Saccharomyces cerevisiae S288C: one gene and its partner. The protein of the gene in region 1 purifies or fractionates together with the protein of each later gene. This does not show direct contact. Each region holds a gene or a part of one and is shown in the gene's direction. Other genes may lie near its edges.

Region 1 (16,878 bases):
TTGAGAGCAAAATTAACGATGGGCTCAATAATTGACTTTTCGTCTACTGTCCCAACTGGTGCAGAAGGTAACAAAGGCGTAAATAAGAAATAGCTTCTAGGAGAGATGATGGAAACGTTGTACTTCTTGGTGTCAATGTGCTTTAAAAACGAAATAGCTCCCCACCCCGAACCCAGTATCAGCACGTTTGGTTTGTCGCTGTGCTGAGGGTCAATGACTTTCATGGTCTTAAAAGATGTAGGACCTGCTCCGGAGTTTTCCACCCCTGTGGATCTGGTGGAAGCGAATCTGACTAGCGTATTCGTCGAGGTGAGCAACCTCTTGTTACTATACAAATTCTTCGATAGCATAGTGGTTTTTAGTTTCTTCTCTTGGGTAAACGTGTAATTCGATGATGTGATGAAACTGACACCCTACCTGAAACTCCTCAATTGGTAGTTAAAACTCCTTCCCCACTATGCCCTATACATCTTATATATACCCTGTCGACGTTGCAAATACCGGCAATAACCAAGAGCGCTAAGGGGGAGCACTCTTATTGTGGTTACCCGGACGTTCAATGCCTTCATATGATTGGTCCGAATGAATAGGTCATGAGAAAATGCATATTTTTGAGGCATTTCAGCAATGATCGGCAATCTGCACATATTCGTATTGTTTCCCTGAGTAAGTTATTTGCGGAAAGAGACATTCTATTGCTTTGGAGTATTTTGTGGTCTTCGACAATAAAGCGAAGGAATAATAGGTTCGTTGCTAGCGACAAGCAACACATAGTTGTAGTGATGCTATAGCAAAGAAAGGTCACAGATTCATTATTGACCTTTTAAATGGTGCCCAGTGGCAATTGCCGTTTTAGCATTCTTTAAATGCGTAGTATATGAGTTTTAAAGTGCTTTGTTGTTCACGTGCTTTTCACGTGTATGATTACTTAACCGGGTAGCGCCGGTCTTTAATATGCTTTCCAGATTAGGAAAGAACATAAATAAAAACACAAAATAAGAAAGTGTCAATCATCCGCATTGAAAGAAAGAAAAGATTTTTTTATCCCTCAATTGTACATGAAAACAGAGACCTTTCAAAACGTATTTTAACATTCTTTTACTCTTTTCTTGCACCTGCAGCCTTAGGTCAGTAAGAAAAAAAGTAGGTAGCAATGAGCCCAAGTCCATCAGTGTCGCCAAGAAGGACGCTCAATAACAAATCATCTTACATCAATAACAGCGGTGGGCTGGTCCTGCCTCCTACGCAGTTTAATTTGAATCAGCAGCCAGTCCTGAGCTTCCAACAAAAAGCGACTTTCGATTCCAACCAGCAGTTTTTCTATTATCCAGAGTCACCCACAAAAAACCTGAGACCAAGGTTTAACAGTATTTCGCAGGTTAATAAAGGAGTTAATGAAGACCATTATACCGGGGGCGGTAGCAGTAATAATAACAGGCCATCTAGATATACAAATACCATGGGCGCTGCAAACACCAATGTAAATTCCCATCCGCATCATCAGTCGGTGTCGCATTTAAATTCTAAATCTCTTAAATTCAATCAAACGAAGGAAGTGAGCAGCATAAATGAAATTATTTTTCCTTCCAGAACGTGTACAAAGAAACGGTATTTTACCAAGCCAATTGATTTGTATGGTACAAGAAGTAGCACTAGTGTGGCACCTAAGTTGACGAATTCTCCCACGAAATCAAAAACAAATTTCAACATCAAGAAGTGCATCTTACCTAGGTCCGTCGTTACCACATATAAATTACCATCTCCAGTGCACGAAACGATAGACGATATATCCAAAAAAATCATAATCCTGCTAATTTCGTTGAAGTTTGAGAAAAACTATCACTTCTTGCAACCTATTCAATTGTCCACAAATAGTAAGACACGGATCTCAAAATCACTAGACGAATTATGCGGAGTGCAGCTGACATCAACGTTACGGCAACAAAAGCAGCTGCAAGGTAACAGCAAGCCCGTAAAGAATCTCCCTAATTCCAATGCGAAGCAGAGAGCCGGGGCCAGTGTTTCCACAAATGCCAACGAAAGCTTTGAATTGAGTTTTGATGGAAAGGCAATGGATAGATCTGATATATTTCGAATGGTAGATTCTTTTAGCATCGCCATTTCAGATGAAGATGAGGAAGATGAGGAGGAGGATAGCTTTCAGCAGAGAAGTGCGAACAACAGAATCCTCCCTGCGGAGATACTAAGTAATGAACCTTTGAAATGATACGGATTCTCTGTATTCTGTCTATAGTATTTATATACCAATACATTTTTCCGCACTTTGAAGTTTTGCATTTTACTTAATGTAGTTTATTATTAGTTGCCAAAACGAAACATTTAACATGTGAATTAAAAATACAAAAAAAAGCCTATTAACGATCTAAATTTATGACAAAAGACATATAATTATTTTAATGATGCCTTTGTCACAACCGAACACAATATCTTTGAAAAGTGATCCAGCAATCGAATTCAGAATTCGTTGTGCCATTTTTGCCTTACGTTTGCGCCATTGTAATTTCTCTGTGCCGTCTTCTCTTCACTTTATTTCAATATTATCATGCAGTAAACAAGTTGCAGAATAATAAATAATATACGTACCAAATATGTGAACAACTCAGATACTATTCATTTGATATGTTAAAAGTCCTGCATTCCTCTCCCGACATTATATATAAAATGCTCAGCCACCCCTTCGTTGCACAGAAAAAAAGGATGACCTATAATACCAATATTCAATCACAATAGTTATACCAAACTAACACATGGTTGAAGCAGACTACTTACTATCGTGGAGTTAGCTCACTGAAAATTTAATATTTACAGCATTAAACAGTTTTTTCTTTTGTTTTGTCTCCTACATTAATTTCAATATGGATAGCCAAGTAGAAGGCAAAATATCCCCCTCACAGAAGGAGTCCTCCTCCACCTCAGGCCTCGTTTCACCTAGTGAAGATGGCCCAGCACATCAAAAAATACACAGAGACCAATTAAGTGTGGATCAAATCAAGAAAATCAGAGAAGAACGTGCTCAGAAGAGACAGGTACGTAGGAACTCTCTAATATCCCAAGGGAAGGACCCTGACTTCCCAACGCCTGACTTACAATTCATTGAAAGACCATTCCTCCCTATCAACCATGATAATTCGAAAGGTCTTACGCCAGCGACCATACAAGTCACCCAAGATTCATTGGACGTTAAAATAATGACCTATAATACTCTAGCACAAACCTTGATTAGGAGAGATTTTTTCCCAGAAAGTGGACCAGCGTTAAAGTGGCATAAGAGATCAAAAGTTTTGGTCCACGAATTGAAAAAGTACAGGCCTGATGTAGTATCGTTGCAGGAGGTCGATTACAATGAACTCAACTTCTGGCAGGAGAATTTCCATAAGTTAGGGTTTGATGTGATTTTCAAAAGGCATGAAGGGAAAACTCATGGACTACTAGTTGCATGGAACAATAAAAAATTCCAGTTAGATAATGATTGGATGCTGGACTACGATAATATATTGGCGGGAAATGTCATTTCAGCAAGAACAAGAACTAAAAATATTGCCCTTATTATATCGCTATATTTCAAGGGTATAACAGATTCATCATCAAGAGGAATTATCGTCGCAAATACACACCTATTTTGGCATCCCTTTGGGGTATTTGAAAGATTAAGGCAATCTTACTTGGTTTTACAAAAGATCCAGGAAATTAAAGCATGTTCCAAATATAATGGCTGGCATAGCCTACTGATGGGTGATTTCAATACCGAACCTGAAGAGCCACCGTACTTGGCCATAACGAAAAGACCACTGATATTAAAAGGCCCAATAAGAGCTATGGTGGAATGCTCACTAGCGTATCGGTATTCAAAAAAAAGGAATGGAGAAGAAAGTGACCAGGATGATGAAGAGTGTGATGAAAAGTCTAGGGGCGAAGGCCATTCAGATCAACCACAAAACCCAAAACCAGAGAGCTTTACAGCCACAAAGGAAGAAAAGGCTCTGGTAAATCAATTAGTTGCGTTGCATAATTCACTACATGTGAAAGGCGTATCTTTGTATGGGATTGGCTACGGTAAAGTGCATCCTGAAAATGCTAACGGAAGCCACGGCGAACCGGGACTCTCAAACTGGGCCAATACATGGTGTGGATTATTAGACTACATATTTTATATCGAGGGTGATCATAATCAGGACACGCGTCAGAAAGAGCCTCTGAATGCTTTTGAAGGAAATAACAACGTAAAAATAATCGGATATCTGAGGATGCCGTGCGCACAAGAAATGCCCAAACACTCCCAACCTTTCGAGGGAGAATATGCTAGTGATCACATTTCCCTAATGTGCCAAATACGCTTGTTTTTTGGGGGGGAGAAAGTGCATAGCTTAAAATAAAGAAACAATATATATAAACAACCTACATTTGTGTTTGAAAGACAGTAATCAACGCTTCGATGGTCACTGGGATTTTTCTTTCAATTTAGCGTCACTTTCACCTTATTCACAGCTTTTACGTGCTATTTTTGGTCACCCTTCCCCTTTCGTTGCGCCTCAACGGGCTAAAAAAAAAAAAATAAAATCAAGCATAGAAACACCACAACAAACCTGCCCTTTTTCCTTGTTTCAGGTTACGTGAAAAGCATCCAGAGAAGATATCCCAAAGACTGAAGAGGTGTAGTTGGCTCATTCACGTCGTTCGTTTATATTATCAAGGAAGGGGTTTTTGATCGGCTCGAACAAGACTCGCAAGAATCCGTTTTCTATTGTTTTTTTTGAGGATTCCAATATGTCAAATTCCAATTCAAAAAAACCTGTTGCGAATTACGCATACCGTCAACAGCAAGATTATAATGGGATGAACGCCATGGTGGGAAATCCAATGATGTATCATCCTGTTGATTTCGTAAACGGTGCCGGCCAATATGGTCCTTCTCAACACCCAGCATATTACACCAACTCACCATTACCTAATATTCCACCAACACCTTTTGATACTGCATACGGTGCCAGTCTTTTTCCATCTCACCTATTGATGGGATCTCCATTTGTTTCCTCGCCTAACATGCAAAGTGGCTATAATTCTGCAAGATCATCTAATCTCAAAAGAAAGGCTTATTCGAGGCCCGTTTCTAATCATAACGGTTACAACGGAAACAGTAACAGTAACCAAAACAATACTAATAACGGAATGGTAACACCCTCGAACTATTATAGAATGGGGAGAAATTCTTTCTCGAGGAACAACAACAGTACGAGGAATGTTACTCACAACAACAATAAGGGGTGCGACACCCGGAACAACAGTGGAAGAAGAACATTCGCAAGGAATAACATTTTCGACGACATACTTCCAGAAATGCTTTTACAAAGACCCTTTTGTATTAATTACAAGGTTCTACCGACTGGTGATGATGCTTATAGAACTAGGTCGCTGCTTATTGAAAATGTGGATCATTCTATTGATTTACACTCTATAGTCAAAAATTTTGTCAAATCCAATACTCTGGAAAGTGCCTACTTAATTGAAGGAGGGAAGAGCGATGATTCAAAAGATGTAGAGACTAAAAATCTATCCATTCTAATAAGCTTTCTAACCAAAGGCGACTGTTTGAACTTTTACAATAACATTTTACAAAGGTTATCTGAATTCAAAACATTTTTGAAATCTGAAGCACTAAATCTGAAATTTGTTTGTCTAAACTATGATCCCAAATGCCTCCCTACCTTTATTGAGAGTGAAGCGTTAACAGAAAACGCTGAAGAAGCCGACATTACCAATGGTTCAACAATGATCAGTGCTTCGCTGCATCATAATATAGCGAACAAAGATGCTACAAGGTCGATTATAATTGAATTCAAAAGCCCCGTGGAGAAAAGCGATTTATTCAAAAAGAAATTACAATTTTTGGACAGGTCAAAAAACAAAAGATACATTTTGGAATCTATCGATTTAGTGAACACAGATGTACCTTCCAATCAATTTCCTGAAAATTACGCCGTTTTAACCTTTTTGAATATCTCTATGGCTATTGAAGTTCTCGATTATTTGAAAAAATACTCCAAAAACTTAGGCATTTCTAAATGTTTTTACGTATCCCTAGCCCCGTTGGTAGTTAGCTCAGCCAGATCTTCGGTTGCTAATATTTACGAGGGTAAAACGAGCACACATCGTTTATCGGTGCCTTCTGTTACTGCTGGGAACAATAACGATAGCAACAACAACGGAAACAATAATAAAAGTAATATGAGTGGTATCACCACACTCAATAATAATAGTAGTATTGGTGTTTCCGTATACGGTCACTCTAATATGAGTTTAACCAGTCTGTCATCATCTGTATCTTTAAATGAAGAGATTGATATGCTTGCGACGAAACTTCAAGGGGTAGAACTTGATGGGACTTATTTAGAAATCAACTATCGCGACTATCAAACACCAACTATTGAAGAACACTCTACTCACTTGAGCAATGTCAAAATTTCAAAGACAACAGAAAACTCTAGGCAATTTTCTCAAGATATCCCATCACCTTTGCCATTAAATGAACATATGTTTATGAATGATTCTAATCAGTCCAATGGAGCGATAATACCTCAACAGTTAATAGCCACACCTTCTCCGGTATCCCCCAATTTGCAAATGAATCAAAGGGTGTTGCCGAATCCAATAACTCAAAGTTTGGAGCAAAATTTCAACGTTTCGGCCAAAGTGGCATCATCCATGGGTTCAGACATAGGCAATAGAACAATTTATATAGGAAACATTAATCCAAGATCAAAGGCGGAGGATATCTGTAATGTCGTGCGTGGAGGAATCCTTCAGAGCATTAAGTACATACCGGAGAAGAAGATATGCTTTGTTACTTTCATCGAAGCTCCATCCGCTGTACAGTTCTATGCAAATTCATTTATTGATCCAATAGTGTTACATGGGAATATGTTGAGAGTTGGATGGGGGCATTATTCTGGTCCATTACCGAAATTAATCTCGTTGGCTGTTACGATCGGGGCAAGTAGGAATGTCTACGTAAGCCTACCAGAGTTTGCATTTAAGGAAAAGTTTATTCACGACCCTCAGTACAAAAAATTGCATGAAACACTATCTTTACCAGATGCGGAACAACTAAGAGAGGACTTTAGTACCTATGGTGATATTGAGCAGATTAACTATTTGAGTGATAGCCATTGCTGTTGGATAAATTTCATGAATATATCTTCTGCGATTAGTCTTGTTGAAGAAATGAATAAGGAATCCACAGTACAAAATGAATCCGGTGAAGTGACGCTTAAAAGGGCGACTGAGGAAAAATTCGGTGGCCGTTATAAGGGCCTTCTGATAAACTACGGCAAAGATCGTTGTGGCAATATAAACAAAAATTTGATAGCAGGTAAAAATTCAAGATTCTATAAGAAAGTTAAAAGACCGAGCTATAATATACGTTTGAGTAAGTTGGAAGAAAAGAGGAGGCAGAATGAAATCGATGAAAAGGAAAAGGCTTTTGATAAACCCTTGAACTTGGAATCCCTAGGAATTAGTCTGGACGCACATAAGGACAACGGCGGTGGTGAAACAGGAACTGCAAATAATACTGGGCATGAAAATGAAAGTGAACTAGAGGCTGAAAATGAAAACGGTAATGAGACTGGAAGTTTCGGTGGACTGGGTCTCGCTGTGGCGAGCTCTGACGTCAAACGTGCGACATCGGATGAAACTGATTATGAAGATATATTTAACAAGTCATCGGGATCTTCCGACTCGTCATCAGACGTCGAGGTCATTATGCACTCCCCGAGCGATCCTGAATACGCTTTAAAATCACAAACTCTAAGAAGCTCGAGTCAGACCGTCATTAATAGTAAGAGACCAGTAAAGATAGAAGACGAGGAAGAAGCCGTAGGAATGTCACAGCTCAATTATAGGTCGTCATTAAGACAAGCTCCTCCAAGAGCTCCCTCAACTTTGTCATATAATCACTCGAAGAACAACGAAACGCCAATGCAAGATATTTTCACAAATGGCGAAACAGCAAATAACAGAAAGAAGAAGAGAGGATCTTTTGCAAGGCATAGAACGATACCAGGATCTGACGTCATGGCCCAATACCTTGCACAAGTGCAACATTCGACATTTATGTATGCAGCCAATATTTTGGGCGCCTCTGCGGAAGACAACACGCATCCTGACGAGTAGTATAGCTGTGCTGAGCCTGAAGTATAATGCATATCCATCGGACTATTTAGACAAAGCCCAAGGAAGCCTAAGGCGGCCTGCCAAGGTGTTTCTCCCTTTTTTTCTCCGATTTCTTTGTATAAACTAAATAATATAGTGATTACTAATGGAATGGCGGTATTATGCACCTAACCTGTTCATTCTGCCACAGATTACGTAAGCGATTTATTGCCGGCACTTGTTGTCTTAATGACCGAGTCACCAATGTGGAACGATAATTTTCTCTGACTCAAACCTGTTAATTTTTTTCTACTTCGTTTCGTTAGCGACGACGTCAAGCCGCAGGATCCTGTCTGCCTTGACCTCTTCTCTACCTTCAGAACTTACACTTTTCAGGTAAGATGACCTTTATATAAAAGTTGACACTATTACAGTTGTTTATAAACGTCTGAAGAATGAGACGTTTTTATAAAATGAATAAAATGCATATTCTAAGTTTAAAACAACATTTTCAAAGTGTACGATTGTAAAAAGAGAGGCAATTAGAGAATCTCAAACAGGTAATAATAATGGGCAATCAGTCATTAGTTGTGCTTACGGAAAGTAAGGGTGAGTATGAGAATGAGACAGAACTACCTGTTAAAAAATCGTCACGAGATAATAATATCGGAGAATCTTTAACAGCAACAGCTTTTACGCAGTCTGAAGATGAAATGGTAGATAGCAATCAGAAATGGCAGAACCCAAACTATTTTAAATATGCATGGCAAGAATATCTTTTTATATTCACATGCATGATAAGTCAGCTTCTAAATCAAGCAGGCACTACACAGACTCTTTCGATCATGAATATTCTTTCGGACAGTTTTGGCTCAGAAGGAAACTCAAAGTCATGGCTGATGGCATCTTTTCCGCTAGTTTCAGGCTCATTTATTTTGATTAGTGGCAGACTAGGTGACATATACGGATTAAAAAAAATGTTGTTAGTAGGATATGTTCTGGTTATTATATGGTCTTTGATTTGTGGGATTACCAAGTATTCTGGTAGCGATACTTTTTTTATTATTAGTAGAGCCTTCCAAGGGCTAGGGATTGCATTTGTTTTACCTAATGTGCTGGGAATAATTGGTAATATATATGTAGGTGGTACTTTTCGTAAAAACATCGTGATTAGTTTTGTTGGTGCGATGGCCCCTATTGGAGCAACTTTAGGTTGTCTTTTTGCAGGACTGATCGGTACCGAGGACCCAAAACAATGGCCATGGGCATTCTACGCGTATAGCATAGCCGCTTTCATTAATTTTGTGCTCTCCATATATGCCATTCCGAGTACTATACCAACAAATATTCATCATTTTTCTATGGATTGGATTGGTTCTGTTTTGGGCGTGATAGGTCTCATTTTATTAAATTTTGTGTGGAACCAAGCTCCTATATCGGGTTGGAACCAGGCTTACATCATCGTAATTTTAATCATTTCTGTGATTTTTCTTGTCGTTTTCATCATTTATGAGATTCGATTTGCCAAGACTCCACTATTGCCGCGCGCAGTTATAAAGGATCGTCATATGATTCAAATTATGCTGGCTTTATTCTTTGGATGGGGCTCTTTTGGCATCTTTACGTTTTATTATTTCCAATTTCAATTAAATATAAGGCAGTACACGGCATTATGGGCTGGTGGAACTTACTTTATGTTTTTAATTTGGGGTATTATTGCCGCCTTACTGGTAGGATTTACTATCAAGAATGTGTCTCCATCAGTGTTTTTGTTCTTTTCTATGGTAGCATTCAATGTGGGCTCAATAATGGCAAGTGTTACACCGGTTCACGAGACATACTTTCGTACTCAGTTAGGAACGATGATAATTTTAAGTTTTGGGATGGATCTTTCATTTCCTGCTTCTTCCATTATCTTTAGTGATAATTTACCGATGGAGTACCAAGGCATGGCTGGGTCATTGGTGAATACTGTTGTCAATTACTCCATGTCCTTGTGTCTCGGTATGGGTGCCACAGTAGAGACACAGGTCAATTCAGACGGAAAGCATCTTTTGAAAGGCTATAGAGGTGCTCAGTACCTTGGGATAGGATTGGCAAGTTTAGCATGCATGATTAGCGGGCTTTACATGGTCGAAAGCTTCATAAAAGGCCGCAGGGCAAGAGCTGCTGCAGAATACGATTGCACTGTGGCTTAGCGGAAAGCGGTTATTAAGGTAAATAGATAGAAATACACCGCTGTCATGCGATTATATAGACATGGGGCATTTAGACACTGAAAGTCTTCATATCTCAACATGCAACTAGTAATAGTACAATTTTTAGTACCCTTTAATCTTTATTGTTCGCTCCCTAATAACGAAGCCTTGAACTGTAACCAGATCCCAGGTTACCCCTTATCCTTAAGAGGTCTTTTATTTACTCTACATAATATATATTTTTCAATCCATTGAAGAGGATTAAAAGAAGAAAAATCAATACCGAACAAAAAAACAAAACGAAATAAAACAAAACAAAAAATTAAATTAAATTAAATTAATATTAAATGTCATCATGATTCTTACTCTGATTGTCTTCTCTTCTCTCTTTCCCTTGACGCAATTTCCTTCAAATCGTCATCGCTCGGTTCATAAATATGCCAAATAGTATAATGCGGTAAACCACCAACCCTGTACCCCATTTTCTTTGCCATTTTACCAAATGCTTCTGTTTCTGCATGATTTTCAAAAGTAAATGCAGGAAACTGTACCCCGTTTCTAAATATTTTGGCCTTCGCCAAAATAGAAACTCCCCCTACACCGTCCAAGTCCACCGCTTCATTTGGATCACCTTCTGCATCTCTGATATAGGCTAAGTGAACTCTCCACGTAGGATATTCTGCATAGCCTTCTACAATAACATCATCTTCGTCAAGAGTCTTTGCCAATGCTAGTGCCTCCTGAGATTCCATCCAAGAATTCAAATCATATGGTTGTTCAGTTCCCAAAAATGTAGGTAGTGGTCTCCAAACGTTAGGGACGATAACATCGTAGTTTTTGCTCATCAAATCTTGAATGACTGAACCAGGGCACAGCTCTACATCAGCATCTCTCCAATAAACCCATGAGTGGTAAGGTTTCAAAGCATTGGCAGTTAACCAATTTCTTGCCCTCCCCATTAGTTTTCGTCTTATACCTTGAACCTTAACGGCATGTCTGTCACTAAAACCTTGTCCAATTACTTGGCCAAAATCCTTTTGGAAAATTTGTACTGATCTAAATGGCTTGTCATAATTTTCATGGAATGGTGGTGAAAATGCCTGGTGGACACGGTTGATATAACCTTCGTCCATATATTTAAGATATAATTTATCGGTGCCTTTTGTTTGCGAATCAATGACAGCGTCAATCTCTTGAAAAATCTGAGACAACGTGCCATTTTGTAAGTGCCTAGAATACGCTATTAAAGCATCCAACGTAGTGTCACCTTCTGAGCAATCACTGACTAAAAAGGCCAGATCAATCAGCTCGTGTGGATAGGTTAGGTTCATTAAATGCTTGAACATTAATGGCAATACATCCGCAGCGTTTCTTAGTGGAATGCATAAAAGAATGTGATCACGTGTTTCCAATCCATTCGGAGCACCTTCAAAATTCGACAGGTCGTACTCCTCAACAGTGGAATCAAAAAGCATGTTGAGTTCCCTTTGGTATTTTTCATCATCCTTGGGAGTCAACACTTCTGAACCAAATTGTGATATTAGATAATGTTGCACACCATCATCAAATTTTGAAATCACTTCAGGATCGATATCCTCAAAATCATAGTCGTAATATTCTTCATCTTCTAGGTCGATAGTCTTGTAATTTTCGGAGGATTTTGAGGAACCCAACAACGACCTACCATTTTGCGTGGATACACCAATGCCCATTCCGGAGAGAAATGATATAAAGAGATATAACGACAGAACGGCGATAATAATAAGAGATGTGATACTCACCGTAAGCTGGAATTTAGACGGTGTGGAGCGCGGCTGGTACCTGTATTTGCCCTTTAATGAGTTGGAGTTATGCTCTGAGCGTTTGTCCTTGATGTTGTTCGAGCTACCGTTCCTTGAAATGGGCAGGCTTAGTCCATTGTCCATGGCTTTCTTCTTTATATTTGACCTTAAATTAAAAAACATGCCCATTTTTTTGTGTTAATTGGTAGGTCAACAAGCTCAAATGACTGTTACTGCACCCTTACGTCTACTTCTTTCACGTTACCATTTACTAATTTACAAGACGTAAACTTTCTTTGATTCTAAATATTTCAAGCCTTGTTTCGGTATAGTCGCCGAAGAACGAAAAAAAAAAAAAAAAAAAATTCCTCTCCGGAGATAAATTGAATACGTATTATTATATTAGGGACAAACACTGGTTCACTGAAAGCAGTTGTTTACATAGTTATATCGTGATCTGTGGCTATATCTGCAGGAGGAGATGTCGGGGCGTTTTCATTAGGCGTCGAATGAGGAGAGTGACTTGTAGTAGCATCGATATTGGTTGTGTTATGTGCTACAGGTGTAGTATTTGTAGTATCTTGCGCTGTCATTGTTGGCGGTTCCGATTCCGCGACCAGGTTCTCCGCAGGCATACTCGACATTTCATTCTCATCTTCACTGCTCCCTAAGATGCCAAATAAGTTTATGTCATCGTCCTCATCCTCGGCGTTTGTGTTGATAACTATGGTAGAGTTGTTTAATGCATTAGGGGTGGTCGTGTCGTCTGCAGCGTCCCTTGCGTGCTCGTTATTTAGTAGAAGCTCAAGATCATGGCCTTCATCTTGTTCCCTCTTTGTTCGTTGTGAAATAAGCTCTTCTTGCCGACGTTTTAGCGATTTTGCTCTTTCTTCCTTGGCCATTCGTATTTTTTCCTTCTTCAACTTCTGGACCTTAGGTAAATTGTGCATGAATAGTGTCATAGACTTACGAAATTGCAATTCTATGGTTTTTTGTATGGTTTTGTGAGACTGGTGAGGACTCTCTGGAAGGTAGAGAGTTTCAGAAATTTTCAAGAATGGATTTTTTGTTCTTTTCAACTGATTCACTTCAAATTTCGTGACACGTTCTCTCGCCAATTCCACTCTATACTTCGCATACTGCTCGATATTGTTTTCATTGAAGGACTTTTCAGTTATGGTTGGTTTCCTTTCTTCCAGCGCGTTGCCCCAAATCTCCAATTGTTGCTCGATAGCGTCCTCATCGTCTAAACCCGGCGGTTGCGGGGTATTTGACGCTGATGATATGTGGGAGAGACTTTTGTTCAAGTTCAATAGTGCCTTTTCAGACTCTTGGCTTTCTTTTACTATTTCTTTCTTGATGGTTTTTAGATCAGTAATTGGATGGTTGAACTCAGGTGTAAACTTATAGGTATGGTCAGGCGGAAAGTTGGGCAGCCAACTCGGTATCTGTTTTTCCAGTGGGTTAGAGGGAGGCAGCAAAACGTTGATCTCGTTCTGTTGCTCCTCGATATTATTCAATTCGTCCTCTTCATCTTCTTCGTTATGCGGTAAAGCAGCAAGAGACGACCAGCTCATCAATTTTTCATATTCCGTGGAATGCTTCGATTTGATGAATTCTGAGGCCTGAAACTGCTGATAAAGGGAGGGCGCATCCAGGTTAAACTCTCGAAGCAACAATTTCAAATCTGCTTGAGAAGCTTGCGACCTTCTTTGTAAAAGTGTTAAATTGTGCAGGTTCCGAAACATGCCGTCCATTTGGACGGTCACGAGGTTGACCAGCTCATCCAATGCAAAGTTTGAAATGCAGATGTTCAACGAATTCAACTGGAAAAGTACTGTTTTCTTTAGAATTTCAACTACGGGAGCATCTATTTCCAAGTGACTAATTTCCGTCAAATCCGGTAGGTTCCTCAGCTGAACTATGGTACTTTGGGTACCGGTACCACTTTCTGACGTTTTGGAAGTCATTGCCCTTTATGAGTCCCTCAATTACACGTTTGTTTGCTTGCTTGCCTCTCTCTCCATTGCTTTTACTCTCTTTTTTAAAGAGTTCAAGATTTTCTACATAAAAGCATCGGGTAACACTCCCATATACACCATTTGTGCTTAAGCTGGCTTCTACCAGTCGCGTTTCAAGCGACTTTATTGATCGCATCAGCGTAGAACAAGAACAGAACTATGTATGCAAACAGGACTAATCATCTTCAGTTATCTTACTTTAGTTTGCAACTATTTATATCATGTTTTCTTTTCAACTTCTTTTTTTTTTTTTCGTTTATGAAGCCGATGCTAATGCATCAATTTTTTTTTTTTGGTGATGAGTTTTGAAAGAAAATGAAAAAAAAAAAATTTCTATTATTGTCAGTGGAGTTTTTGAACAGATCACCTTGTGAATCTACAAACTGTCCTAAAGTATATTGGAGCAGGACATTGGGTGATGGCGAAAACTTTGGCACAAGGAAGGAAACCTGGAAGCGGCAGAAAGCCCGGAAAAGGGAAGACGTTGAGAGAGGGAAGAAAGCCTGGCAGTGGTAGGAGGAGGAGGCAAGATACTGGGGGTAAAGAGACCGACGGGTCTCAGCAAGATCAGGAGTCGCGTCTTATTAGTTCCAGGGACATGGAAGCTGTGGACGCACTGAGAGAGTTGACGCACAGCCCGTCGTCTCACTCAGCTCATAATTCATCAGCAGCACCACCGCCGCATGCAGCAGCGGCGTCAACTTCATTGCCTCCATCTCTGGATTATACCCATCAGTCATTCATGGATCAACAACAACAACAGCAGCAGCAGCAGCAGCAACAACTACTACAGCAACAGAGAGTGGACGTCGTTCCGCCCAAGCCGTTCATCACCCACAAGATCCTGTTATCTTCAACGGGAAACTCTGGCGGCCACGTGAATTCAAATTACAACGCCGACCACAGCATTAATCATAATTCAAACCACAACCTTAACAGCAACGTGAACGTGAACATGAACTTTACTATAAATGGGAGCAATCAAGACCCGTCATCTTCTTTCCTGATGGGGCCCTACAACTACTTACAGCGGCCTTTCATTGTGAAACCATATCTTGATCTGTCCACAAGCACAGCAGCATCAAATCAGCCACGGACGCAACCATCGCCGGCAGCACATATCACTAAGAATTCCGATTCTACAGAGAAAAACGCAACCATATGACATTCATTTCCAGCATACCACTAAAACATTCGTATATGCCACATAATAACTAGTTGAGAAAACCATAGATATTTATATTTATATGTATTTGTACTTCTTTGAGCAATGTATATTTAAGACTGATCTCAACTTCAGCAACTGTTCAAATTCACTGTTTTTCCTAATTAAGCACAACATGAAAAACTAGAATTTTAGAAAGAAAAGGAAAAAGAATACCAGATGGTAGTTAATTTCTCACAAAAGCACTGCCAGGTAAAGGTATACAGCAAGGATGGACTCTCTTGAAGCTAGATTACAATTCATTCAGGTCCTGAAGAACCTGCAAAAGACGCTGCACAAGACCAGAGACTCTATCACATCATCGTCGACCACCACACCACCGTCATCGCAACAAAAGCTGAACAATGACCCTATACAGTTCTACTTGAGAAACTACAGACATCACTACGAGGACTTCCACCAATGTTTGTTCGATACAACCATGAAGATGGACCCACTAGATAGACTGGACGTAGTGATATACTATGTTAGAATAATAAGAAACTTATATCCGCATAGCCATTCCAATACCAATGTTACAAAAGTGTTAAACGAAGTGCTACTCATGGACATAGACTTGGTTTTTGAGCTTTGTCTGCCCTGCCAGGACTGGAAATCCCTCACGAATCAAGCCACCTGTAAAGAGCTATTCCTTGACTTATCCAAACTAATCCATTACGACGCCACCAGCGTCACGCACACACCATCAGACACCACACTCATAGACGCTACTACCTGGTACAGTGTCAAGACAGAGAGGACTACAAAGGACTATAAAGAATCATTGCAACGAACGGAGTCTCTGCTTAAGGACAGAGACTTGAAGAAATTGGCTTTCTTTCAGCAGTTCAATTCCGATACAACTGCGATCAACCCGGACTTACAGACGCAGCCAACCAATGCAAACATTTTGTTGCACAGGATGGAAGCAGACAGGGAACTGCACAAGAGGTCGAAAGAGACAAGTTGGTACATCGAAAGGCCCTCCAACGATATACTGGATGAATCCGAATTTAAAAGCTTGTGGACGCATTTTGAAACTACTGATTCCGGATTTGATAAGGACGATTACAAAAATATCAAGGCTTTAAATGACATTGCGAAGGCATCTTACATATATTAGTACCATGACGTTATATATATATCTGTGAAGAGAATCCGTATCTGTATTATATATACGTATATACGTATCAATGCGCGTACAAAATGAACTTGTCTTTTTCTTATCTCGATTTCAGGAAAAGCAAACTATTCAAGGTGAAACGGCGGCTAATTTTCCTCTAAGTTACTTTTATTGTAGTCCTCAACATGTGCAGACGAATAAACTTAACACGGTTTGCAGAGTGTGTTGTTGAGTATAAAACAGTCAATTTCTGTGGACCTGGCCGTAGCCTATTGCTGAAAACACACAAAAGAGGAGTTTGACGAGACTTAAAACAAGCCAAGGAAAATACCATGTTAGACTACTCCCTTCATTCGATGGTTTTACGCCGCATTTCTACACA
Region 2 (15,774 bases), 440 kb from region 1:
TCGACTATGAGACCTTGAACCAGTTTAATTTTAAAATAAATATTTTTGTTGAACTAGTTCAGCAACCGAAATCCAGAAAAAAAGTTCTAGAAGAATAGTTTTATTAACTTTGAGAAAGTAAAAGCTGAGATAAAAAACCAGCTCAACATATAAGAATACAAGCTGACGGTAAATAACAATAAGTAGCCTTGTTGGCGCAATCGGTAGCGCGTATGACTCTTAATCATAAGGTTAGGGGTTCGAGCCCCCTACAGGGCTTCTTTTTTTGAAGATTCAAGTAAATATGCTGCATACATAATTCTCATTCAAAATATATACACTTAAGACATCTGGCCTTTTCTAGTTAATCTATATATTTAGTTCTTATAATAGATGAATGTACCGTCAACCAAAGATTAGCAGTTGGAGGGCGTTAAAAACAATTTACCATTGCCAGGATTCGACAACACTATTGTAACGTATTTCTGTTTCTGGTCTTGGAGTAATGTTTGTAGTCTATTAGCGGAAGTACCTTTTTACAGTGTCGACACAATTTGACTATTTTTTCAACTAGATTACCGCATGTCCGTCAGGGCATTTGTTGTCATGCAAAAAAATGAATAAAAAAAAAGGGCATCATCAAGAGAAGAAAACCTAATTAACGAGAGTGCAGGACATATGCACAAATAATATATCTCACACCATAATAATGTCAAGTGAGTCAACAACTTTCATCGTGGATGTTTCACCATCAATGATGAAAAATAATAATGTTTCCAAATCTATGGCATATCTAGAGTACACTCTATTAAACAAATCTAAAAAAAGTAGAAAAACAGATTGGATAAGCTGTTATCTCGCTAATTGTCCCGTATCTGAGAATTCCCAGGAAATACCAAATGTGTTCCAAATACAATCCTTTTTGGCTCCTGTTACCACGACGGCCACCATTGGGTTTATAAAACGCCTGAAACAATATTGTGATCAGCACAGTCATGATAGTTCGAATGAAGGCTTACAATCAATGATTCAATGTCTGTTGGTCGTCTCATTAGATATTAAACAACAATTTCAAGCAAGAAAAATTCTAAAACAAATTGTTGTATTTACAGACAATTTAGATGATCTGGATATTACTGATGAAGAAATAGACCTGCTAACGGAAGAATTAAGCACAAGAATCATTTTGATTGATTGCGGTAAAGACACTCAAGAGGAGAGGAAAAAATCGAACTGGTTAAAGTTGGTCGAAGCGATACCGAATTCAAGAATCTACAATATGAATGAACTTCTTGTTGAAATCACTTCCCCAGCAACATCTGTCGTTAAGCCAGTAAGAGTATTCTCAGGCGAGCTTAGGTTAGGGGCAGATATATTATCAACACAAACATCGAATCCTAGCGGCAGCATGCAAGATGAAAATTGCTTATGTATCAAGGTAGAGGCTTTTCCTGCTACGAAAGCAGTTTCAGGCTTAAATAGGAAAACCGCTGTTGAGGTGGAAGACTCCCAGAAGAAAGAAAGGTATGTGGGGGTCAAATCCATAATCGAATATGAAATTCACAACGAAGGAAATAAGAAAAATGTCAGTGAAGATGACCAGTCTGGATCGTCATACATTCCCGTGACCATCTCCAAAGACTCTGTAACGAAGGCATACCGTTATGGTGCAGACTACGTAGTGCTACCGTCCGTTCTAGTCGATCAAACTGTATATGAATCTTTTCCAGGCTTGGATTTAAGAGGATTTTTGAATAGAGAAGCTCTTCCAAGGTACTTTTTGACGTCGGAATCCTCCTTCATTACCGCCGACACAAGACTTGGCTGTCAATCTGACTTAATGGCTTTCAGTGCTCTAGTGGATGTTATGCTAGAAAATAGAAAAATTGCTGTTGCAAGATATGTGAGCAAGAAAGACAGTGAAGTGAATATGTGTGCATTGTGTCCCGTTCTAATTGAGCACAGTAACATTAATTCCGAGAAGAAGTTTGTTAAGAGCCTTACCTTGTGTAGATTACCATTCGCGGAAGACGAGAGGGTAACTGATTTTCCAAAACTTCTGGATCGAACAACTACATCCGGGGTACCGCTGAAAAAGGAAACAGACGGGCATCAAATCGATGAGCTTATGGAACAATTTGTAGATTCAATGGATACAGATGAGCTACCAGAGATTCCGTTAGGCAACTACTATCAACCCATAGGCGAAGTAACAACAGACACCACTCTCCCACTTCCCTCTTTAAATAAAGACCAAGAGGAAAACAAAAAGGATCCTCTTAGAATACCCACGGTTTTTGTCTACAGGCAACAACAGGTGCTACTGGAATGGATTCACCAACTGATGATCAATGATTCCAGGGAATTTGAAATCCCAGAGCTTCCTGACTCATTGAAAAACAAAATAAGTCCTTACACGCACAAGAAATTTGATAGCACAAAATTGGTTGAAGTGCTCGGCATCAAGAAAGTAGACAAATTAAAACTCGACTCCGAACTAAAAACTGAGCTTGAGAGGGAAAAGATCCCGGACCTAGAAACGCTATTGAAGCGCGGTGAACAACACAGTAGGGGAAGTCCAAACAATAGCAATAATTAAAAAAGGTCTAACATCCTTTGAGTTATGTTTTCGTCACCACAGTTAAAGAGAAAAAAAAATAAATAGCGGGTAAATAATTGTCATACTACTGATTTGCATTGTTACCTTGTAACTTTGAACACTAGCCATGCAGGTTGCTTTTCCTCCTTTACACCTTCCCCCCTGTCGCTGTTCAAAAGTAAATGCAACAACAATAAAACGTGGGTAGAGGACGTTCCCTGTATGTACTAAAATCATACTATCATCCGTTGAGGTCGAGCGGTTCTCTAATCTCAACACACGCTGCTGCCCCTGAGCTTGCGAGCTAAGGACAACAGGGCCAACTTGTTCTTTCTAGGGGGGAGAGGCCCAACTTAGGCTCGGTGAAGAGAAGCGCGGAGCTCACGAAAAGGGGTGGTGTCGCGCACTACTTTTTTCGTGGGGAACTTACGTGAAAGGGGACGTTATACTTTTGTTATGTGCAGTTCCAGGAACAAACAGGGGTTGAAAAGTGTAAAAGAAATAGTTGATTCTTTCAGAATCTGGATGACTGCCGCCCGAACAATGTGGGAAATATAAAAAGGTACCGTTAATATTGTTTCATTTTCGAAGATAGTGTTCCATGTCTTTCTTCAGCGTTGCTTGAACAATAGGATAATAAGAAGAAGATCAACCAATCTTTCTCAGTAAAAAAAGTAACAAAAGTTAACATAACATGTCATTTCAAATTGAAACGGTTCCCACCAAACCATATGAAGACCAAAAGCCTGGTACCTCTGGTTTGCGTAAGAAGACAAAGGTGTTTAAAGACGAACCTAACTACACAGAAAATTTCATTCAATCGATCATGGAAGCTATTCCAGAGGGTTCTAAAGGTGCCACTCTTGTTGTCGGTGGTGATGGGCGTTACTACAATGATGTCATTCTTCATAAGATTGCCGCTATCGGTGCTGCCAACGGTATTAAAAAGTTAGTTATTGGCCAGCATGGTCTTCTGTCTACGCCAGCCGCTTCTCACATCATGAGAACCTACGAGGAAAAATGTACTGGTGGTATTATCTTAACCGCCTCACATAATCCAGGTGGTCCAGAAAATGACATGGGTATTAAGTATAACTTATCCAATGGGGGTCCTGCTCCTGAATCCGTCACAAATGCTATTTGGGAGATTTCCAAAAAGCTTACCAGCTATAAGATTATCAAAGACTTCCCAGAACTAGACTTGGGTACGATAGGCAAGAACAAGAAATACGGTCCATTACTCGTTGACATTATCGATATTACAAAAGATTATGTCAACTTCTTGAAGGAAATCTTCGATTTCGACTTAATCAAGAAATTCATCGATAATCAACGTTCTACTAAGAATTGGAAGTTACTGTTTGACAGTATGAACGGTGTAACTGGACCATACGGTAAGGCTATTTTCGTTGATGAATTTGGTTTACCGGCGGATGAGGTTTTACAAAACTGGCATCCTTCTCCGGATTTTGGTGGTATGCATCCAGATCCAAACTTAACTTATGCCAGTTCGTTAGTGAAAAGAGTAGATCGTGAAAAGATTGAGTTTGGTGCTGCATCCGATGGTGATGGTGATAGAAATATGATTTACGGTTACGGCCCATCTTTCGTTTCTCCAGGTGACTCCGTCGCAATTATTGCCGAATATGCAGCTGAAATCCCATATTTCGCCAAGCAAGGTATATATGGTCTGGCCCGTTCATTCCCTACCTCAGGAGCCATAGACCGTGTTGCCAAGGCCCATGGTCTAAACTGTTATGAGGTCCCAACTGGCTGGAAATTTTTCTGTGCTTTGTTCGACGCTAAAAAATTATCTATTTGTGGTGAAGAATCGTTTGGTACTGGTTCCAACCACGTAAGGGAAAAGGACGGTGTTTGGGCCATTATGGCGTGGTTGAACATCTTGGCCATTTACAACAAGCATCATCCGGAGAACGAAGCTTCTATTAAGACGATACAGAATGAATTCTGGGCAAAGTACGGCCGTACTTTCTTCACTCGTTATGATTTTGAAAAAGTTGAAACAGAAAAAGCTAACAAGATTGTCGATCAATTGAGAGCATATGTTACCAAATCGGGTGTTGTTAATTCCGCCTTCCCAGCCGATGAGTCTCTTAAGGTCACCGATTGTGGTGATTTTTCATACACAGATTTGGACGGTTCTGTTTCTGACCATCAAGGTTTATATGTCAAGCTTTCCAATGGTGCAAGATTCGTTCTAAGATTGTCAGGTACAGGTTCTTCAGGTGCTACCATTAGATTGTACATTGAAAAATACTGCGATGATAAATCACAATACCAAAAGACAGCTGAAGAATACTTGAAGCCAATTATTAACTCGGTCATCAAGTTCTTGAACTTTAAACAAGTTTTAGGAACTGAAGAACCAACGGTTCGTACTTAAAACGAATGATTTACTAATGGCTTAATGATTTTCACCTTTTTCAATGAATATTAACGGTAAAGAAGAAAATTTCAATTTTTTGAACACATACTTTATATACTTAATAGATCCATATTTCGACATATTAGCAAACGATTGCATAGGTTTCTGAGTCTTTTTTTTTTTTTTTTCATAAGGAGGAGAATATTTTGGTTAATCGCAGTATCTTCTTCATAAGTGCTGTTTCTAATTATATCTAATTCACGAATTTTTCCCAAATTAGCGTATCCCCGAATTCAGATTACCTACCCCGAGTTTTTTATTATATTTCCCTCGAGAAATCTGTAAAATGGCCGTCATCCTTAGATTTATAAATAAAATGATAAAATTCAGCCAAAGTGCTCCTAAACCAGAATTGTTCAACTGGGTCAAATTATCGCGTATACAAATATACATATAGTAACATGCATTCCTGGCGAATATCCAAGTTTAAGTTAGGAAGGTCCAAAGAAGATGATGGGAGTAGTGAAGATGAAAATGAAAAATCGTGGGGTAATGGCCTGTTTCATTTCCACCATGGAGAAAAACATCACGATGGTAGCCCGAAGAATCATAATCATGAACACGAACACCATATAAGAAAGATCAATACAAATGAGACTCTCCCAAGTTCCTTAAGTTCTCCAAAATTACGTAATGATGCATCCTTCAAGAATCCATCGGGGATAGGAAATGACAATTCTAAGGCTTCCGAAAGGAAAGCTAGTCAGTCGTCTACTGAGACGCAGGGACCGAGTTCGGAATCCGGACTAATGACAGTGAAGGTGTATTCTGGTAAAGATTTTACTCTTCCCTTCCCTATCACCTCTAACTCTACTATTTTACAAAAACTACTAAGTTCCGGCATCCTTACTTCATCATCCAATGACGCTTCCGAAGTTGCAGCCATAATGCGGCAGCTACCACGATACAAGAGAGTGGATCAAGATTCAGCAGGGGAAGGCTTGATAGATAGAGCTTTTGCCACTAAATTCATTCCTTCCTCTATATTGTTACCTGGGTCAACAAATTCAAGCCCATTACTTTATTTTACAATTGAATTTGATAATTCTATTACTACTATTAGTCCAGATATGGGAACGATGGAGCAACCAGTGTTTAACAAAATATCGACATTTGATGTAACAAGAAAATTACGATTTTTAAAAATCGATGTCTTTGCAAGGATTCCATCCCTACTTTTACCCTCTAAAAACTGGCAACAGGAGATTGGCGAGCAGGACGAAGTACTGAAGGAGATTTTAAAAAAAATCAATACAAATCAGGATATCCATTTGGACTCCTTCCATTTACCTTTGAATTTAAAAATCGATTCTGCAGCCCAAATAAGACTATACAATCACCATTGGATTTCTTTAGAAAGGGGATATGGTAAATTAAATATCACGGTGGACTACAAACCTTCTAAGAACAAGCCTCTCTCCATTGATGACTTTGATCTATTGAAGGTTATCGGGAAGGGTTCGTTCGGCAAAGTGATGCAAGTAAGGAAAAAAGATACCCAAAAGATTTACGCTTTGAAGGCTCTGAGAAAAGCATATATTGTATCGAAATGTGAAGTGACACATACTTTAGCGGAGAGGACTGTCCTAGCAAGAGTTGACTGCCCCTTTATTGTTCCGTTGAAGTTCTCATTCCAATCTCCGGAGAAGTTGTACCTAGTATTAGCTTTCATTAATGGCGGTGAACTGTTCTACCATTTACAACACGAGGGACGATTCAGTCTAGCACGCTCCCGTTTTTATATTGCAGAACTATTATGTGCTCTCGATTCATTACACAAACTTGACGTCATTTATCGTGACCTAAAGCCTGAAAACATTCTATTGGATTACCAAGGACATATTGCACTGTGTGATTTTGGGCTTTGCAAGCTGAACATGAAGGATAATGACAAAACAGACACTTTCTGTGGTACTCCCGAATATTTGGCACCAGAAATCTTGTTGGGGCAGGGCTATACTAAAACAGTTGACTGGTGGACATTAGGTATCTTACTGTATGAGATGATGACAGGGCTGCCACCATACTATGATGAGAACGTTCCTGTTATGTACAAGAAAATTCTGCAGCAACCGCTACTATTTCCTGATGGATTTGACCCTGCGGCAAAAGACCTATTAATTGGCCTCTTAAGCAGAGACCCAAGCAGAAGACTCGGCGTTAACGGTACAGATGAAATTCGTAACCATCCTTTCTTTAAAGACATCTCATGGAAAAAGCTACTTTTGAAGGGCTATATTCCGCCTTACAAGCCAATTGTAAAGAGTGAAATAGATACTGCAAATTTTGATCAAGAGTTCACTAAGGAAAAACCGATCGATAGTGTAGTGGACGAGTACTTAAGTGCAAGTATTCAAAAGCAGTTTGGTGGGTGGACGTACATTGGTGACGAACAGTTGGGTGATTCTCCTTCGCAGGGGAGAAGCATTAGTTAGAAGCAAGCCGAAGCAAGCCGAGCCGAGCCGGACGGAATTTATAGCTATAGCCGCAAGAGGTTGCAATTTTCAAAAATGGATAGTTCAAGTAGATTGCGATACGCACTCCGTTACTATTGTGGTTAACGGGGACAAGAAGAACTACAGAAAATAGAATGGTCCGCAGAGGCTGCGCTCTTCTTTTAGCAACTCTCACACGACTTATGTTGCTTATTCATTTCTTTTACAGCATTATCAGAATTCTTCCATCTACGGAATTGAGATCAAAGACCGACCTGTTGTCGGCCGAAGGACGGACGCTTATACCCGCGGATGTCAAAGCGAAGCCCGCGGGGCGCAAGTCGAGGTTACCGGAATTCGCCAAACGGCAAAGGACCCTTGCATTGCCTGAAAGGAAAGATTCGCTTTTCTGTTTGTTGCCACTTTTCTTACATAGTCTGGGCCGGGAGCAGCTTATTTCTTCCGCGGATGATCCTGGATTTCCTTGCGCGGGCTCAGCCATGGGGAGCCTTACCTAGTCCCGTAAAGGGAAAAAGCTAACCTCATTCGCCTCACAGGGTGAAAGCGTGAACAAAAAAAAAAGAAAAGCTTAATGATTAAAATTTACAGTATATATATATTTGTATTTACGTATTAAACTATATATAAATAGATATGTATGCCGAAAAAGTAAAGTCTGGGTGATGCCTAGTCCAATCTTTCTTACTACTGTCCAGTTTCTATCGTAGCAGTTAATTATACATAGAACTGTGTAAATTCAACGCATTAATTTTTTTTTTTTTCACTTTCGCAGTTAGGGGGGACACATTTTTTTTGCCCTTTCTTAAGCTTCGTAAGCGAGTTACATCATTATTTCTTCCTGGGATACAATACGCGTTCGTACAAGTCACAGCTGGACCGTATAGGGAACAAGACTGCAACTCTCTCCAACTTGTTAAACAGAGGAGGAAAAGAAAGAGGGAAAAGAGGAACAAAGACAATCAAAGAAAAAGAATAGAAAGCAGTTGCTGAGCTCTTGGCATATTGTATACGGTAGTGGCGTATAATATAGTACGAGAATTAGAAATATGACGAATATGGCGGAGGATAAAACAAGTATAAGCAAGGTACATTCTGAATTCAGCAATTCCTCGAATACCACTGGATCTGAAGAGGAGAGTCGGTCGCATCAAGAGAGCTTCGACGGCGAGTCCAGTTCCGGTGAAAGTAAAAGTAAAAGCAAACTAAATCTTGAATATTCTGCAGATATCGAGCCATTGAAGTTCAGAATGACAAAAACTAATAATACAAATGACAAATTAAAATATAGTAACAACGGCAACGCCACTGATTCATTTATGAGACTAAAGGAACATTTACAGAGAGGCAATACTTTAAATTCGAATCTTAGGGTCAATGAGTTTTACCCTTTCAATTCCATTGATACAGAGCAATTTGAAAACTATTTGAGAGAGCCAAAATACATTAAAATGTTGAAACGTCGGAAAAACCTGAAACAATTTAGAAGATTGTTTCTCGCGCAAGAACTAATGGCCTACGAAGGTGAAACGGTTACCTCCACTTCCAAATCATCTGAACCAACCTCTAAAGCTATATGGAGTACAAAGTTTAGCCGCGATGGAAAATTTATGGCCACTGGTAGCAAAGATGGTAAAATAAGAATATGGAAAGTTATTGGCTCTCCAGTTGAAAGAGCCGAATTGGACTCGAGTGCGGAATCAAATAAAGAGGCACGAGCCAAGTCGATGCGGATCAAACAGCAGGTCAGTTCATTGAACAATCCAAAAGAAAAACAATTTTTGGATTCTGCTACAGAGAAATACGAAGAGAAGGAAAAATTATTGAATTTGTATGCGCCTGTCTTTCACCCAACGCCTTTGCGACTGTATAAAGAACACGTGCAAGATGTTCTGGATATAAATTGGTCTAAAAATAATTTTATTTTGTCAGCATCGATGGATAAGACAGTAAAACTATGGCATCCCGATAGGAAAAATTCACTTAAGACATTCATACATCCTGATTTTGTCACTTGTGTGGAATTTCACCCCACCGACGATAGATTTTTCATTAGCGGCTGTCTGGATCACAAATGCAGGTTATGGTCTATACTGGATGATGAAGTTAGCTTTGAGTACGATTGTCAAGACTTAATAACATCTGTTACATTATCCCCTGAGGAGGGAAAATACACTATAATAGGAACATTTAATGGATACGTTCATATTCTGATGACCAGAGGTCTCACTCCAGTTTCTTCATTTCACGTAGCTGATAGACAAACACAAGAACAAAACGCTCACGTCATGGTCACGGAAACTGACTCAAAAATTCGTCATGGTCCACGTGTGACGGGTTTGCAAGCTTTTAGATCTCAACTGGACAATTCTTTCCGCTTAGTAGTTACATCGAATGATTCGAGGATAAGAATTTTTGACTTAGAACAGAGGAAGCTTCTAGAGGTATTGAAAGGCTTCCATAGCGGATCTTCCCAACACAAGGCACAATTGTCCATCTGGCATGGTCAGCCAATCGTTGTAAATAGTAGTGATGACCATTGGGTTTACGGCTGGAGGTTAAAGTCTTCGGATAGAGAGAATGATCAAGACGAACCTAAAAGGAAACCAAAGGGATTGGCTCGGTCCGGAAGTTTGAGAAGCATATTTAGTAAATCAATGAGTAGGTCTTCCAGCCAGAATAACGAAGAAAAACCACATCATCATTTAAAACTTACTAACTTACTTCCCTTGCCTCATCATAGCAACGATCATTATATCAAAAATACGGATTACATTTCTTTTCATGCACACAATGCCCCTGTTACTTGTGTTAGCATTGCACCGCCAGAAACTTCGAAAACATTATCTTTGTCTAACGATGTTATCTGCGAGCTATCTCTAGAGTTTTTTCAGACATCCGATAGTTTCGATGTTTTGAGTCGGAGTAACGACGATGGCATAATGTCAGATGTAGAGTCGTCTTTGGGCTACAATTCTAAACCAGGCTCAATTTCTAATGCTTCCGCCACCAGTGCTATCCCAGATGTCGTTGACGCAATTGGAACGATATTGATCAGTACTGATAACGTAGGGACTATTCGTGTGTTTAGAGCAGATATGCCCTCTGTTATAAGAAAGCGCGTGTTACTCAAACTAGAAGAATACAATAGAGAGGTTCGGAGAAGGTTTAACAGTTCTGATTCTTTGCATTCTTTGAGTCGAAGCTTCAACTCGAGAGCGAAATCAAACTTGGCTGGCCAACCGGCAGCGGCGTATACTAATACTGGAAAAGGCTATGCAACGGGACGTGGATACTCTAATATATGTCCCAAAAGCAGTACATCACTAAAAACACTCGGCAGTAATGCACAGCCAAGAACACCAAGGGAAAGCATGTCATCTATTTTCTCCAATGCACATGGGCCTACCACTCCAACGAGCGCAATGAATTTACCTATCCGTTGCAATGTTTGTAACGGTTCAAGGTTTGAGGCTTTTTCTGGTGCTAATGACCAACAAGATAGAAACTATTATTGCGTAGACTGCGGTACAGTAGTTAATAACTTCCGCTAACGCTGATGGAGTATTTTTTTTCCGTGGATGATACCTTTAAATGCATATTAATCTTCGTACATAAAGTAAAGAAACACGATACACTTAAATAAATTTTAATCTAATAATTAATGAACGCTAACAATGAGCCTATCATTTGTTGCCGATATACTATAACGTATCTCTTCGAAAGAACAAAACGGAGTGAGTGCCTGTTAAGGGTAACTACTCCAAACTGAGTGGACCTCGGCGGCTAAAGCTATACTTTTTCTGTTATTTAAGGGACCTAAAAATACACACAGAGTAGATTAAGATTTGGTGCACTTTTCTCAATTTATCAACTTATAAAGAACAGGCTGCCTTTCAAACATAGGACGTTTCTGTTGACCATAATGAAAATGCCCAGTATTATTCAGATTCAGTTTGTAGCCCTAAAAAGGCTTTTGGTAGAAACCAAAGAACAGATGTGCTTCGCAGTGAAAAGTATATTTCAGAGAGTATTTGCGTGGGTTATGTCATTAAGCTTGTTTTCATGGTTTTATGTAAATCTTCAGAATATTTTGATAAAAGCATTAAGGGTAGGGCCAGTGCCTGAACATGTCTCCTTTATCATGGATGGTAACCGGAGATATGCCAAGTCAAGAAGGCTACCAGTAAAAAAAGGCCATGAAGCTGGTGGGTTAACGTTACTAACACTACTGTATATCTGCAAAAGATTGGGTGTAAAATGTGTTTCCGCCTATGCATTTTCTATTGAAAATTTTAATAGACCAAAAGAAGAAGTAGATACGCTAATGAATTTGTTTACGGTAAAGCTTGATGAATTCGCAAAAAGAGCCAAGGACTATAAGGATCCCTTATACGGATCTAAAATAAGAATAGTAGGTGATCAATCTTTACTATCTCCAGAAATGAGAAAAAAAATTAAAAAAGTGGAAGAAATCACACAGGATGGAGACGATTTCACTTTATTTATATGTTTTCCTTACACTTCAAGAAATGATATGTTACATACTATTCGTGATTCAGTTGAAGACCATTTGGAAAATAAATCACCAAGGATTAATATAAGAAAATTTACTAATAAAATGTACATGGGTTTCCATTCCAATAAATGTGAATTATTAATCAGAACAAGTGGGCATAGGAGGCTCTCAGACTATATGCTATGGCAAGTACATGAAAATGCCACCATTGAATTTAGTGATACGTTGTGGCCAAATTTTAGCTTCTTTGCTATGTACCTGATGATTCTCAAATGGTCCTTCTTTTCCACCATTCAAAAATATAATGAGAAGAATCACTCATTGTTTGAAAAAATACATGAAAGCGTTCCTTCAATATTTAAAAAAAAGAAAACAGCTATGTCTTTGTACAACTTTCCAAACCCCCCCATTTCAGTTTCGGTTACAGGAGATGAATAAGTAAAAGTGCAAAACTAGAAAGCCCAAGAGAGGGCAAAGAACATTCTGAAAACTCCCTGATTCTTCCATACCTATTACCATATTACATCATTTTTAATTAGTAGTCTTTTAATTATCTATTATATCCGGTATATAAAATATCCTTGCGCCAAGTGTATAGCTAATAAAATGTAAAAAAAAAAAAAATTAGGAACAAAAAATAAAAAAAGCGAAAACAAAAAACTCCGTTAATGAATATTTCATGATCTTGTTAAACCTAGGTCATCGAAATCCCCTTGTACTTTACTCAGGTATGCTATTTTCATCCCTATTGCTTATTTCATCAGGTACGGTGGTGGATATATTAGGAGTGAACGTACTGGTAGAATTCGAAACATCAGCTGCTGTAGTAGCGGTGGCATTTAAAGAACTAGGCTCATTTGGGGTATTGACACCTGTGGTAGTATTCGTGGATCTCATATGACTTGATCCAACTTCGTGACACCAATACCTATGATATCCCCATGCTTTTAATTGACACTTTCGTGAGCAATATTTCGTTCTTTTGCATCGACGACATTTTGCAAATTGTCTTGGAAAATCTTCCCATTTTCCGCACGAAAAATTGGCACACTGACGCACACCTAAGATCTCATTTTTTCGACATGAATTTCTCATGATGACAGAACTCCAATATATAACATCATGTGTATTTTCTGCGCTCACTGTATATTTTTCGACTAAGGGGAAGATGTTTACAACATTTGTTAGTACCTTGTTTTTGTAAACAATATTTGTTAATTCCTTTTTCATTTTATCGTAGCTCCAGCGCCTTTCAAAGTTATCAGATATTTTCTTCCTTAAATTAATTCTTTCCTTGTCTTTGCCATAGGCATTGTCGTCGCTAGGTTTCGGTACACGGTAGCGCTCAAACAAATTAAGAACGGGACAGTGGTTATTACATATTTCATTTTGTTCTTCTTGTTGACATCTGTTTGAGAGTTCTTCTAATTCTTTGAAAAATGGATCCATTTTGCTAGTATCTAGTGCCTTAACTTTGGAATTGTTTTCAGGATTTTTCGATAAATAAGGATATAATGAAGACAATTTTACAGTTACGTCTCTTTCTTGTTCTTCTAAGTCATTCTCTTCTGAGATTCTCTGTTTAATTTTGTAAGCCATACTTCTGAACGATAGGGATTCAACCAGCTCAACATTTTGAAGGGTTGATTTCATATATGTATACTTCGAAACAAAAGCTAATAACTGAAGCGACCATATAACGTCGTCTTGTTTGGGGACAATTCTTCCGAGAAAAAATTCACGTGGAGTGGAAATTGTAGGTCTATTAATGTCTGGTTGCGAAAAGAAATTCTTATGTGCATCAAAATTTTCACTTTCTACTTCACTATCAATATCAATGTCGTCGTCGTGTCTTTCCTGGTCAGGTTCAAAATTGCTAGCTAGGTCTGCAAACCGGCCCCATATATCACTAAAATCAGTTGGAATTGTCATAGACGGTGCCACTAATCGTTCGTTTAGAAAATTTTTGTCAGTTGACAACTTCAATTTATCCTGACCTGTAATGAACTCTATATACTGCTGATATGTTTCATTCTCATCTTTTCTCATGAATTTATACATTGTCTCCGTGGTTATCCCTTTGAAGTCAAAGGTCATTGTTTGATCTTTGATGAAGTCGTAATTTTTATGATATAGTAAATAGTTATCCAATACTGTGACCAGCACAGATAAGACCCCAGACATTACCACTTTTTTACGAATTTGTTCTGTCCCTCTAGTACCTGTCAATACTAAGCACTGAAATGTTAAAGTCCATTTCCAAGCGCATAGTGCTAGTCTTTTCTCCTTCCATAGATCCTTTATGTTTTCGTGCTCATTAAAATTTTCTAAATCCAAATCCAGCAACTCAAACAAACTTAAATGACAACTCCTCAATATTGAGACTAATCTTTCGAGAGCACCGTCGTTAGCTACCGTTTCCCTAACTTTTGATGAATTAGAGGTTAGATATGTTAAGTAGTTTAGGGAGTTTATTAACGGAATACTAGAGTTGATATCCAATGCCCTTCGGTCATAGACAGTAGATGTTATTGTTACTATAGGCTTGTTCGACGTTAATGATCGATGATTAGAGTCTCTCATTTCTTTACCTTTTCTTTGTTTTGAATATTTCAAATTACGTTCTATACGCTGTTATGATATGTTAATATAGCAAAAACAAACAAAAACTCCCAGGGAAATGAATTGAAAAATGCAACAAATAGGGACCTCACCTTTGTATAATGGAAGATTCCCAAGTTTCACTTATAGTTGATCAATGGGTATGATGAAATTAGCAAAGTAAAAAAGGGAATGTTTAATGGTTCAACTTAGATAAATGGAAGGTTGAATATGAGAACCAACAAAAATAAAAAATAAATAAAGTCTCAAATTATCTATATCGCTCTAATGAGGAAGTCACTGTGCACACTTACAGAAACTATATAAAAAACGGATATTTTTCTCTTCAGGTAGGGAAGTTTGTCCAGCACTTTCTTCCTTGTGAGCTGCTCTAGGTCTTTCGTTTGTATAGGCCGACCATCAATAACCCAACTCTCAAATTTTGCCACTGAACACCCATACAATACATAACCAAAGTATTCTAGTTGTTATCCTAGCTCGATGCATTGTTGTAGTAGGCCTAATAAGAAGATAGTTCAACCAAGAAAAATAGTCAAAAGGCTTTTTGCCGTTTGAACCATCATAAACTTATGGAAGCCATCTAAATAATTTTCCTTTTTCCTGGTTCCTTTCTATGTATCCAAAGATATATATTAAGTAGCCCACTTCTAGCCAACTTCTAGCCCACTTCTTAGGTAGTAACTATACGCAGCTGCTCCAGGAGGGAAAGAAAAAACCAACGGTCTATATTGTAATAACTATTAGTTTTCTTTCTCTTTCCGTGGGCTTCAACGGCCTTTATATAGCTCTTATTATTCGGAGTTGCTATTGGCGGCTAATATCTTGCGAAAAACGTGAGAATATGAACTTTAAAGTACACATGACTCGATTACTGATAACAAAATTGAGAGGGAAATACATAAGTCAAAATAATAAATGTCTGATGGACCATCTAACAGTTCACCTCGATCTACATATATTTCAATGCGAGAATGATTAATTCTTGCCATTGACAAACAACCCTTTTACTGCCAGCGCCTTTCATAACCATGTAGTTTTATATGCCTAATTATAATAAAGCATGACATATAATGCCAACCCCATATTTATATAGTTAACTTGAAACCGAGATTCATCTATTGCACCAGGAAAAGTGCCTTCTTCTTAAAACATAAGT

The links.
Region 2: the proteins of NAB6 (region 1) and LAF1 purify together in Saccharomyces cerevisiae (affinity purification with mass spectrometry, with the first as the bait; one large-scale study listed by BioGRID). This does not show direct contact.

What each region holds. Positions count from the first base shown.
Region 1 is NC_001145.3:29,458-46,335, forward strand, and holds NAB6 (Nab6p), read left to right. Parts: upstream 1-4,785; coding exon 4,786-8,190; downstream 8,191-16,878. Other genes in the region: NADH-ubiquinone reductase (H(+)-translocating) NDI1, read right to left, coding at 1-350; YML119W (uncharacterized protein), read left to right, coding at 1,154-2,227; NGL3 (3'-5' poly(A) RNA exonuclease), read left to right, coding at 2,877-4,394; ATR1 (borate transporter), read left to right, coding at 8,739-10,367; VAN1 (Van1p), read right to left, coding at 10,730-12,337; TAF8 (Taf8p), read right to left, coding at 12,586-14,118; DAT1 (Dat1p), read left to right, coding at 14,588-15,334; CTK3 (Ctk3p), read left to right, coding at 15,606-16,496. UniProt on the Saccharomyces cerevisiae protein: RNA-binding protein that associates with mRNAs encoding cell wall proteins.
Region 2 is NC_001145.3:465,105-480,878, reverse strand, and holds LAF1 (Laf1p), read left to right. Parts: upstream 1-8,526; coding exon 8,527-11,031; downstream 11,032-15,774. Other genes in the region: ATP-dependent DNA helicase YKU80, read left to right, coding at 689-2,578; YMR105W-A (uncharacterized protein), read right to left, coding at 2,621-2,815; phosphoglucomutase PGM2, read left to right, coding at 3,273-4,982; putative protein kinase YPK2, read left to right, coding at 5,426-7,459; YMR103C (uncharacterized protein), read left to right, coding at 7,615-7,977; SRT1 (ditrans,polycis-polyprenyl diphosphate synthase), read left to right, coding at 11,403-12,434; MYND-type zinc finger protein MUB1, read right to left, coding at 12,717-14,579.